Linked DNA regions of Oryctolagus cuniculus. The protein of the gene in region 3 binds, or shares a complex with, the protein of the main gene of each other region. Links are inferred from orthologs where the notes say so. Each region holds a gene or a part of one and is shown on either strand. Other genes may lie near its edges. The genes, in order: CACNA1E, CACNA1C and CACNA2D1.

What was found.
Region 1: the proteins of CACNA2D1 (region 3) and CACNA1E are in contact, whole or in part, in a cryo-EM structure (PDB 8EPM), measured with the Homo sapiens proteins. The link is inferred for Oryctolagus cuniculus from reciprocal best matches to the Homo sapiens genes CACNA2D1 and CACNA1E. Residues at the interface, in NP_001353796.1 of Homo sapiens: Thr170, Asp171, Tyr173, Ile233, Leu235, Ser261, Gly262, Ser263, Ser265, Gly266, Leu267, Lys270, Ala327, Lys328, Gly329, Ile330, Thr331, Glu366, Gln391, Asn393, Tyr394, Ile416, Gly417; in NP_001192222.1 of Homo sapiens: Gln110, Leu112, Pro113, Glu114, Asp115, Asp116, Lys117, Pro119, Arg122, Asn630, Phe631, Asn632, Asp633, Gly634, Ile1330, Gly1331, Asn1332, Val1334, His1336, Met1341, Val1343, Arg1346, Arg1393, Ser1394.
Region 2: the proteins of CACNA2D1 (region 3) and CACNA1C are in contact, whole or in part, in a cryo-EM structure (PDB 8WEA), measured with the Homo sapiens proteins. The link is inferred for Oryctolagus cuniculus from reciprocal best matches to the Homo sapiens genes CACNA2D1 and CACNA1C. Residues at the interface, in NP_001353796.1 of Homo sapiens: Thr170, Asp171, Tyr173, Ile233, Leu235, Gly262, Ser263, Ser265, Lys270, Thr274, Ala327, Lys328, Gly329, Ile330, Glu366, Gln391, His392, Tyr394, Ile416, Gly417; in NP_955630.3 of Homo sapiens: Phe147, Pro148, Glu149, Asp150, Asp151, Ser152, Asn153, Ala154, Asn678, Lys1090, Gly1091, Asn1092, Tyr1093, Ile1094, Tyr1096, Gly1099, Val1101, Pro1104, Ile1106, Arg1109, Tyr1156.

What each region holds. Positions count from the first base shown.
Region 1 is NC_091444.1:369,123-373,187, reverse strand, and holds the start of CACNA1E (voltage-dependent R-type calcium channel subunit alpha-1E), read right to left. Parts: upstream 2,874-4,065; 5' UTR 2,277-2,873; coding exon of another isoform or gene 2,276-2,276; coding exon 2,010-2,275; intron 1-2,009. UniProt on the Homo sapiens protein: Voltage-sensitive calcium channels (VSCC) mediate the entry of calcium ions into excitable cells.
Region 2 is NC_091440.1:100,409,754-100,413,386, reverse strand, and holds part of CACNA1C (voltage-dependent L-type calcium channel subunit alpha-1C), read right to left. Parts: intron 2,972-3,633; coding exon 2,857-2,971; intron 2,145-2,856; coding exon 2,024-2,144; intron 1,748-2,023; coding exon 1,678-1,747; intron 1-1,677. UniProt on the Homo sapiens protein: Pore-forming, alpha-1C subunit of the voltage-gated calcium channel that gives rise to L-type calcium currents. Mediates influx of calcium ions into the cytoplasm, and thereby triggers calcium release from the sarcoplasm.
Region 3 is NC_091434.1:146,804,777-146,808,409, forward strand, and holds part of CACNA2D1 (voltage-dependent calcium channel subunit alpha-2/delta-1), read right to left. Parts: intron 3,385-3,633; coding exon 3,322-3,384; intron 2,645-3,321; coding exon 2,541-2,644; intron 1,294-2,540; coding exon 1,207-1,293; intron 30-1,206; coding exon 1-29. UniProt on the Homo sapiens protein: The alpha-2/delta subunit of voltage-dependent calcium channels regulates calcium current density and activation/inactivation kinetics of the calcium channel. Plays an important role in excitation-contraction coupling.

The DNA.
Region 1 (4,065 bases), on a different chromosome or scaffold from region 3:
CACGGCACAGGTACAAGGCTCCACGCTGCAGAACCTGTGTCAAGCCCAGCCACAGGGCCTGACGAGACCAGGGGGACGGGGCTTGCAGCCAAGGCCCCAAGCCTGAAGCTGAAGTCAACCCCTCCTGTGCCTCTCCTTGGACTCCCTCTGTAAGACGCACAGCTGGGCACCAGTTGCACCTGGGGAGAGGCAGCATTTGCAGCAAGACAGAGAAACACAGAAAGAGGCAGCCCTGGGCAGCAGGGAACACAGCGACTTGCCCCCCCCCCCTCCCCCGCCGGGAACCCCAGCCTGCCTGTGGAGGTGCCCACACGGCAGGTCGATGGCGCTGTCCGAGGTGCTGATAGCCGCTGCACCCCGGCCACCCAGTGGCTCTATCTGCAGGGGAGAAGGAGTGCCTGACTGAATGAACAGGGGCGGGGGAGAGGGTTTAGAGCAGAAATGCGGAAGGGGCGGGCGGGCGGCTGGGCCAGCGGCAGAGACCTCCTGGGGGAGGGATCTGCGGGCCACAGCGGCACCAGGAGGGGCACTTCTGCCCTTTGTGGGCACAGCAGGCACGGCTGCAGGGACCGGATCTCTCCCCCACCCTGGCCCCCAACCTACAGAAGACTCAGGCACTGCAGGGCCTGGGATCACTCTGGGGGAGGGGGCGGCACAGGAAGCAGGAGAGGAGGAGAAGCGCAGCCAGGGGTGCCGGTGGGAGGGTGCAAACCGCAGCAGGAAGATCTGCGTAGAGATGCTCCCTGGAAGCACCACGCACCAGCCAATCACCATGCGGCTGGAGCAGGGAGCCAGGGAGGAGGGAAGCAGAGAAGGCCAGAGCAGGGCGGGGGAGGAGGGAGGTGCCCAGGCCCTGGGGGAAGCAAGCCACGTGCCTGGCTGACACCAGAGACCCGTGCAGTTCTAGCCGTCTCTCTGCTGCACCTCGGGAGGATCGGGGTTTGGGGGTGGGGTGGGGTACGAGGAGGGGCCTCCTGGTAGGGGCTTGTTCCCAAGAAACCTCCCTCCACAAGCATCCCAGGCCTTGGCCCTGAGCCACTGTCCTTAACACCACTCCACCCAATCGCCTCCCACCCCACCCCCAAGCCCCAAGGGCTGTGCCAGGCACCCAGATTCTTAGTGAAGAACAAGGCGGGGAAGCACCTGTACCGGGTGCACTTGACCAAGCCCACAGAGAAGACCCCTGCAGGCCCCCTCACCCCGCCACCCCCTCCCTCAGACGCCCCTACCAGCTCCTGGTGGAGAGCAACTCCTCTGCAGCTGGAGACAGGTGGCTGGCACCCCTCTCCCTCCGCTGACAAGCGCAGGCCCCTGGGAGTGGGGACAGCAGCCAGGCTCCTAAGGGCAGGAGGACCCAGCTCAAGGCCATGCAGAGGGGGCCTAGAACACAGATGAGCCCCACCCGGAGCGGCTAGCACCCGAAGCCTGCGGCACAGCCTTTCCCACAGCACCCGCCGCTTTCAGCACAGCTGGAACTTGGTCCCGGAGCCCACTGGGCCCCAGCTGCCAGCGCATGCACAGGGCTGCAGGCCAAGCTCTGGGGGCTTCTGAACAGATCCAACCCTCTGGAGCCTCAACTTCCCCAAAGGCCGACAGCACAGGTCACTCCCCAGCTGGAGGGGATGGGACAGAGGGGCTGACTTGAGACAGGAAAAGGCACGCCGATTATCAAAGAAAGCCTTGAGATGAGAGAGGGTTCAAGCTTTGAGGAAGGCAGCCTGGAGAGGGGCTTGGTTTGTGTGGGGGGGGGGGTGGGTGGGAACCAAGCCCACAAAAGGGCAGAAACACAGCACCAGGCACCCCAGGGACACTAGGGGTCTCCACACAGGAAAAAGCAGAAAGCCAAAGTCTTACCTTCAGGAACGCAAGTGCCCAGGCTTGCCCCTGAGCCGTAACTCCAGCAGAGGCACCAGCTGGAGCCCAGAGGTACGTGGGCAAGGCATCCCGCGGCAGACGCCCCTCCCCAGGAGGAAGGCCGGGGAGACAGGGGCTGGGGGAAGAAAGGATATGGCCAGTCGATGAGCTTCTTGGCGTACTTCCTGACAATGTTGTCTTCTCCAAAGATGAACAGGGATCTGTTCACCGTGAAGCAGTTCTGCCGGACGGGAATGGGGTTGTACAGGGCCATGGTGCGCGCCCTCTGCGCCTTCGACTGCTTGTAGGCGGCCGCGGACCCCGAGGCCGGCACGGGCGTTCCTGGCAGGTTCCTGCCCTGGTCCGAATCTCCCTCGCCTGAGGCAGGCCTGCCGGCCGCCGCCTCCCCGAAGCGAGCCATCCTGAAGTTCAAACAGAAGAGATACACAGGTGACGGCGGCCGGCGCAGGCAGAGGCAGCAGGCGCGCGCGGCGCCTCAGCCGTGGCTCCTGCGGCCCCGCCGCCCGCCGTCGAACGCTGGGCGCCGCTCCGGGCTGGGGAGCAGGGCGCAGCGAGCGGCGCGCGGATGGCGATGGAGCTCTGGCCGAAGCTGGGAGCGCGGGGCGGGCTGCACTCAGCACCCGCTCAGCTGGGGCGGGCGCGGCGCCTGGGTCCGAGAGAAGGCGACGTGCGGTGGGGGAGGGGCGAAAACAAAAGAACTTGGAAGAGGAAAGAAAAAGCCGAGGCCGCGGCTAGGGCGAGTCCATCTGAGAAATTCCACGGCCGAGGCCCGGTGCCTGCGGCTGCCGGCGCCGGCGCATGCGAAGGTTGGCGAGGCTGGGAGGGGAGCACGCCGCCGAGCTTCCTGCGTGAACCGCAACGCCCAAATATCCAAATAAGGGGTCGATCCCACCGGAGAGGGACGACCGCCTTCCCGGCTCCTGCGCCTGAGAAAGAAGTTGAGCCACGTCCAGAGGCAGTGAAGCCGGGCAGCCCCGCCCGTCCCTCGCGCGGGGCAGCAGGGCCGGGACCTCGGCGCCCGGAGGAACAGGTGCGGCCCGGGCCGGCGACTTGGCTCCCCTCCTCAGCCTTCCTCTCCGCCGGCGGCGCCTCTGGCGCGGGCGCAGGGGCGGCGGGCGGGCGGGCGAGCGAGCGAGCGAAGGCGAGCTCAGCGCAGGGGCGCACGGCGCGCGCGGCGGAGGCGGCTCCTGCGCGCGGAGGCGGCTGCCCAGTGACTGGTGCGGCCGGGGTAGCGGCCGCCTCTGCAGAGGCCCAAGGAGGGGTCGCCTTGGCTGAGAAGAACTGAGCCGCTGGGCGGGCGCAGCCGGCGGCGCGGCGCAGTCTCCGCAGCGGAGCGGGCCGCGGGGGCGCACACGCGCGCGCTCTCGGCTCGTGGCTGCAGAGCGGGGTTTCTGACGCCCGTCCTAGCACGGCGACCTGGCGGAGTCGGGGCGCGAGCGCCGCGCCCGGGGTTCGTCCACTCCTCCCAGGCTCCAGGAACACGAGCGGGGACTTCCACGGGGGCAGTGCGCTCACCCCGTCTTCCAACTTAGCGTCTTGAAGGTCCCGAGGGAGAGGTGGGTGCCAGATCCGTCAGCTTCTGCACTTGCTCTCCTATGGGACCTTCTGGGCGGCTTTTGGGTGGGTTGGGAGGGCCGCATATTGCGGGGCCTTGATGGCAAGTTCTGGGCCCCCTAACAGAGGGAGCATCCGGCCCCCTTCTCCCAAATAAGCTCACTTTCTGAAGCCCACACTATCGGTGAGGAGAAAAGCAGAACTAGTGCTGGGCCACAGGGTGGGAAAGGCAGACCCAGAGCTGCAGAGGAACAGCCTGCGTTGGGCGGCCAAGCCCCCAAGGTGGTCGGGGGACCCGCAGCTTTCCCCTCCCACGTCCACACACCTCCCTGTGCCTTGTCCTGCCTGGTCCTCCACACAGTCCTGTCCAGTCCTGCCCACCTGAACCCTGGAAGAGCAGGGAGGGAGGGGCTAAGGGAGGAACCTGTGCAGCTGCTGACTGGTGAGGAGGGAAGTGTTCCCACCTGTGCCTGCGTGGGCAGGGCCACGTGAGCCCTGCTGGTGTGGGCTGTGTCAGAACACGTATGAGTGTGAAGTTTCTGCATGCTGGAAACTCACAGGCACGGTCCTGGCACATGGGGGCCGGCCGGCCTCAGGCCTGGTCCCCTTCAGTGTGTCAGCCCCAGGGGCAGTTTT
Region 2 (3,633 bases), on a different chromosome or scaffold from region 3:
GCCACCATGGTGACAATACTGTCATCATCCATCTTTCTGTGTCCCTGACATTCTTCTCTTTGATTTCATTAAAGCCACAAAGAGGAGAAAAGCCAGGAGGATGTTTAGAATAATAGAATTTGAGATTATTGTCATAGATGCAAGATGTTGGTCTGCCCCACAGCCACGTGGGAGGGACAGGCTGAGGCCTGACTGCAGCAGGGTGGGGGCTGTGGGGAGACCTTCAGATCCAGATGTCCCCTCTGCTGTGTGCCAGGAAGCTGCGTGCTGGAGAGAGCGGGGCCAACCTGGGATTCATGTCACCACTGTCCATCTCCTTAAACTTCAAAAAGATGCTTGAGTTCAGACTCCTATAGGAAACCTCCACAAACCCTGCCTTAACAATCACTGACATTGTGCTGATCTTGTTTCATTTATCTTCTTCGCTTCCCCTATTTTGCTGTTGGAACATTCAAAAAGTAACTTCTCAACATTTTAGACAGCTTGGCATTTTCAAAACAGAGCTAGAATAATAGTATGTCAACAAGATTAACAAAAACCATCTCCAGTCATTTATTTCCCAGTCCATATTCAATTTAGCCCAATTATTTACAGAATGGCACTTTGGTTCATTTGTTGATTCAGGGCCGAGACGAGGTCCTCCCCGTGTGTCTACCAAGTCTGCAAGATTGGCCCCCTCAGCCTGCCCTGCAAAGGATTTTAGGACTTCAAAGGGTCCCAACGTGGAAGCAGCCCTCCTGCTCTTCTCTCTGTCCAAGCCCCAGGGCACCCAACCTGTGCCCTTGTGGGAGTGGAAACGGGTGAGGGTGGAAGCCCACAGGAGGAGCCTACTTCCCAAGGACAACAGAAGAGGCCTGCTGGTGTCCCTGCACGTAAGCAGAGAACAGGTACAGCGAGAAGGCTTTCTGCCACCTAACTGGCTTTCCCTCCAGACACAGCCTGGTCCACACAGAGAAGGAAATGCCTTGACCCCGAGCTGTTGACTTCAAGCTTGAAGCCGATGATAGTATCTGCAATTCTAGGTAAGAGGAGGGCAAGTCTGGGGTTTGGACAGGATGTGAGGCTGCAGGAAGCAAAGCTAGTAAAGCCTGGGGGAGGACCTCTGACCTCTGACATTAACACCCCCTGAAAGGGGACTCCCTGCCCAGTCACGTATCATGAGAAGATGGGGTCAGTAAGAGCTCTCTGGACAAGAAGAGACCTGAAAGAACTTTACAAATCAGCAGGGGGGACGCCGGTGGTGGCAGCCATCCCTGCACCCAGCTGAGTAAGAGCAAGGGCAGACGTGAGATTTGCCACAATTACAAAGAGAGCAGAACACAGCAAAAGGTGCTATACTAACACATCAGGCAAGGAAACGATGATTTGACCAACATAGAATATAAGGAAACCTTGCAGGTATATAGAAGCCAGCTTCCAAAGAGCACAAAAGCCTTGCTCAACTGTAATCTTATCTAACCTAGTGTTGGTACTATGTGGAAACCATAAACCAAGTTTTCCCTCAGATAATCATGGCAATACATAAGTATAGAGACAGGAGACATTTAACAGTGCCACATGCTGGCAAGGAGAACCTGGAGCCACTGGCCCCAAACTCATGGCTGTCCGCACATGGCTTTAGAATTTGCATATCTACCCTCAACCTCCCATCTCAAGGTCAGGCAGTGGGACCGGTACCTGTGGTTTCCGGGTTGGGGTAGGGACTCTTATCCTCACTCTCATTGGGCTGGAGGTCATCCATGTTGATCTAGGCAGCCAAGGAGGGGAAGAAGAAGAAGTTAGATAAGTTCCACAGTTTTAGAGGCTCAGAGTAGCCTTGAAATTGCACAACAATCAGTGGCTGAGCTCAAAAACCCGCCTTTGTCACCTGAGACATCCTCTTCAGACACCAGCAGAGGCCTGGAGTCAGCCAAGTGCATCGGCTCTATTCCCACCGAGTGGCCTCCCTCTGTCTTCTTAGGAAGACCGTGGCCCCCATTCCCTCAGCAGTGGCCACAGCTCCTGGAAGGAGATGGCGACTCACCTTGGTGGTAGGCGGGGACTCTCCATCAGCTGTAATGGATTTCAGCTCAATTTTCTCCTCCTTGGCCTCCTCCAGGGCCGGCTTCCCTACCACCTCTTGTTTCTTCTCCGGGCTGGCAGTCCTGGCCGGTCAGCAGGAGGAAAAGAGAAATGGATGTTTACTGGGGTGGCAAGGAGCTGTTCTGGGGTCTACTGGGCTAGCGGGAGCACAGTCCTTGCATGGACATCCAGGGCACATTGCGTGTGCAACTTAATCACAAGTGCCACTGAGCTGGGCTGCACCTGGCTCTGCCTGGCACTCAATGGGCCCCTTCCAGCCGCTGCTCCAGTTCATTCATCCAAGAATGATTCTGGCTCTCATTTAGGATTGGTTCCTGGAGGAACACTACTCGGTGCCAGGTGGATGCGTGGCCTATGACTGTCCCACCTAGACACTGACGGGACACTCAATGCAGGGCCCACTCCTGCTTTCTTATCACTGGAAATGAAGTAGAAAACACCGAGGAGGCAGCGCTCTGAAAGCTGTGATTCTGTTTCCCCTCCGAGGGGGCTGCCTTCCTCCTTCCCCACCCTACATTCCCACCACCTCTGATGGCTTCTCTGGTGGGGGAAATGCAACACCTTGGTGGGGACTGCAATCCACAACGGTCCTTCTTTAGAGCACCACCCAGGAATTGGAGAGAGGCCCAAGTTACTGCAGGAAGCCTCAGGCCCAGGGCCCTCCTAGGAGTGAAGGGATCGGGGGCCAGCACCAAGCCTCCCTGACCCTCCAGTGGGAACGTATTCCAGAACTGGGATTCTGGGGCCTTGGCCTGGGTGAGTGTAGAGGGTTACCTGGCCAGCTTCTTTCTCTCCTTCTCTTCTTCCTCTTCCTTTTGGGCAGAAGTAAGGCTCTCAGCATCAGCCAGGTTGTCCACAGCAATGGCCAAGAACACATTCAGTAGGATATCTGTTTGTGTCCATTCTTAAAGAAAATGATGCTTGGCCTTGGGGGTATTTGGTGGGCATAGGGGACAAGGAAGAAGCAGGAGACACAGGGGTAGAGTTCCCCAGCAAAGACAGCCTGACACTGACCCACTTTGACAAAGCCCAACAGTGACCCTCTCCCTTTCCTTCTCCATAACCCTATTAGCCACCTGGAGTATCCTACAAGGTTGAGACCAGGCAAGCTTGCAGGTTGGAGCGGGGTGGGAGTGAGGTAGCAAGCCCTGCCTTGCTCTTTAATTGCGGGGTTTTATTGTTGGGTGTCCCCCGAGAGAACTGCTGTGATTGATACTGTCAACAGTATTGTCTCTAATAGAAGACAGAATGCTCTTAAAAGTGGTTATTATAACTGGCACTGAGTAGGTAGCCTGGCATCTCTACCAAGCCTCTATGTGAACCCACACATACAAAGACCCTTGGAGGGTCTGCCTGGAGCTGGCCAGAGCTTGGGAATTCCAAATCAAAGCAGTTATTTGCCCACTTCTTCCCACCCTGCCTCCCTCCCTCACCCCCAACAATAGAAACACAGGTTCAGAGAAAGTACAGCTGGACAGGGTCTTCAAGTTCATGTTGTTGACCTCTACCCCCAGGTGCCAGCCATCCCCATCATTTCTCGTATAGGGAAAC
Region 3 (3,633 bases):
AGAATTTACATCAATTTTAATTCCAACAACTGAAAAATTAAAGATAGAAATGGATGTAATACAATCTTTGCTATATGACATATTAGAAAATTTATACAAAAGCAAAAAATGTTGGAGTGAATAGTTATTGTAGATTTTTGGGGGGAGCTCTTCATTAAGGAACGATGCTAATTGTTCTTGAACTATTACATCATCAATCATTTATATTCACAAAACAATTTATTTATTGGCCACACACTGGCCAATTATCTAATACAGTAAGCTAAAATAATAATAGTGATAATAATAGTGATAATAATAATATCAAAGATAGCCTCATAAATATTACTTCATTCAAGCGGTGTATTTTAAGAAGCTTCCCTAATCCCCTCGCACGTGTAACAGGCTGAGAGAATAACTGGTAAACGAGCAACTGAGGGAAGGAAGGAACAGGTGTGAGTTGTGAGTGATGGGGTGAACCAAATACTAGAACCACTGATGGGATAAAACTGCCCTCTGAAGTAGGATGGTCACCACTCATCCATCTGGCCTCCATAATATTATGCTTTTTTTCTAAATTTCCAGTAAAATTAAATCATATAATGAAAAAAAAAAAAACCAAGTTTTTACTTTATTGTATTCACCCACCTCAGCTGACTTCCACTTCTAATGTTTAATTTTATTATGTATTTTCACTTGCTTATTTAATTTTTACCAAAAAGTCATTTTTCTATAATTTGCAAGTTTTTAACAGATCCCTTCCTAATCTTCTCTGATAGGACTCTATAGAGTACCTATGCCATAATTTATGTTCTCCCCCAGTGATGGAAGTTTAACTTTCTATCTTTAAATTATTACAAATATTTATGTCCTTGGCCATGTTGCTTTATTATTTATTTGAAAGTATTAGGAGAGACTTCTCTAGTGGAATTCCTAGATCAACCCAATGTTTTAAGTTGTGCATTTAAAATCCTAATATATTATGTTAAATGGATTCCATAAATTTTTGTTGATTATATATAAAAACACTTCTTAAATTCTTCAGCACTTTATAGTATCAATTTAATTTTATCCCCAATTTGATAGATAGCAAAATTACATATTTTTTCAGTTTGCATGTCTGACATTATTTTGTTTGAGGCATTCACATGATGGGAGATTATAGTGTAGATGTCAGGTCACATTTAATTTTGATTGTGTTTATGTGTATAGTGTGTGTATGCTTACCTGCAGGTTTAAGAAGTTTTCCTTGGATATATATTTCTACAGCTTTGCTTACCATAATGCCTGACTCATAGGCCCCAGGTCCACTTTCTAAAAGAAAAGAAAGAAAACAGACTTATCTAGAAGATACAGTGGATAACAATATTAAATTTATATCAATAGATACAGATGGATAGTGTTTTACTTAAAAATTATAGATTATACAACACATAAAGAGATGCATGGTTCCTTCTTCCTCTCTTCTTTCTTTATATACCAACCAAGCTACTTGGAATGTCCATGAATTGTTGTGTATTTATTGATTTGGAGACAGGAATTACCTAGTTTGGTTTAATCTAAATCTGCAACATAATGCACACACATCAAATCTTGGCTTTCTACCATCTGCCAAAATGCTGGGGCAGTTGCAGAAGTAAAGAGGAAAAAAGTAAACAGGAAAGACTGGTCTTGGGTGCCTAAAACTGGTGTTACTTTTTATAATGTAGATGTTCCTGGACACAGCTCTGAAATTCTCTGAACTGCAGTTGCCCCCACCCCTTTTTATTTTATTTGAGAGGCAGAGTTACAGACAGTGAAAGGGAGAGACAGAGGTCTTCCATCCGCTGGTTCACTCCCCAAATGGCCACAATGGCCAGAGCTGCACTGATCCAAAGCCAGGAGCTTCTGGGTCTCCCACGCAGGTGCAGGGGCAAGCACTTGTCCATCCTCCACTGCTTTCCCAGGGCATAGCAGAGAATTGGATTGGAAGTGGAGCATCCGGGACTCGAATCAGTGCCCATATGGGTTGCCTGCACCACCGGCAGAGGATTAACCTACTATGCCACAGCACAGCCCCAGTGCAGTTGTCCCTTTTGTGAAAATGGGGGTAAGTAAGGCCTATTCCCAGAGATGTTAAGGAGTTAAATTAGAAAGATGTTTTGGAAATAACTCAACAGAATATTTTCAGTATTTTATAAATATTACAGTATGTAATTAATACTGATAAAATATAATTAATCAGTTACTCTATTTTATTTAGTTCATTAAGCATTCTTCCAATATATTTTTCAGCTGTGCCATGAAGGATGCTCTACATGTGTTTCTATTTCCTATGCATGCCTGTTAGAAATGCTACCTTTGCGCAACTGCATAATTACATGCTGTGTAAGAATTTTATCTCTTCAACTAAATGGATGCTTCTTTTCTATTTTTCTAATAGCTTGCATATAATGCAGGCTTTTGAATAGTCATTTTGGTCAGTTAACATAAAATATATTGATGTGGGAGAAAGCAGGTAGCAGCAATAATTTATTTTTGAAAAAGTAATTGAGGAAGCTGAATTCCAAAGCAATACTTACTGTTAAAGTAGGGAGCAGTGAAAACGTAGTTATCATTATCGAGGCTCCTTTTATAGAAGCTGTCTTCATATGTCTCTGGGTTTTCCTGCCAATTTTCTCCAGCCCTAAGGAGGAAATGGCTCATCATTCATATTCTTTAATCTACCTGATAACCTACTTTTCCCTTGGTGGACACATTGAGCTCTACAGATAACGTCTACATCTCAGGTGTATCTAAGGAAGTTAGTGCTAGCTGACAGTGGAACTGATACTACTAAGCAATACATCAGAACAGTATCAAGAAACAGAAAAACTGGCTCCTAGTCTTACTCAGCTGTTTACTATCCAGGTACTATCCAGGTAATTATGAACAAGACTAATTAGTATTAGTAAGTCTTGGTGCTTCCTTGGTCCACTTCCGACCATTACAGAGAAAGATACATCAAGGAACACTGGAAACAATGGCATGCTATACAAATCCTGCTAATAGTCTAAATCATTATGTTAATTTAATTAGTTTGAGCTTATGTCTACCAAGAGAAAATTCTCTTTAAACATCTTGTAAACATTTTAATAAATAAATATATATATATAAAAATACCTATATCATTGAAAAAATCCTAAGATTCCATTTTTCAGAATGGAGTATTTTAATACTGCAAATTCTTGACAACAATGACACCAGTGCAATCTACAAATGATGATCAATTTCTCTGGAGAACGGTTTCTTAATACAGGAATGCACAGATCTTGGTACGGTTTTTCTAATGCACTTACTTTTACAGGTGTTATTTGAACTTACTCTTTGGGATAAACTCTGGTAATCCCACCATCAGTCACAACAAACCGTGCTTTCACTCCCTTGCTGGAACACATGAAAAGAAGATTTTTTTTTTCCAAATTGAATTTATCCTAAGATATTAACTTAGGTATTGCTGAAACTAAAAGAAATAAAACAAGTTCCTGAAATAAGGGAAGCCAAAGTAAACACACCAACTGATGCAAAACTATGCCTTAATAACTGCAGTATCTATGAAGTAAGTCCTTAATAGGAGGCTGCTTAAGGAAGGCTCCTCAGGAAATGAAGATGAAGCTACATTTTGAAGACAGAATG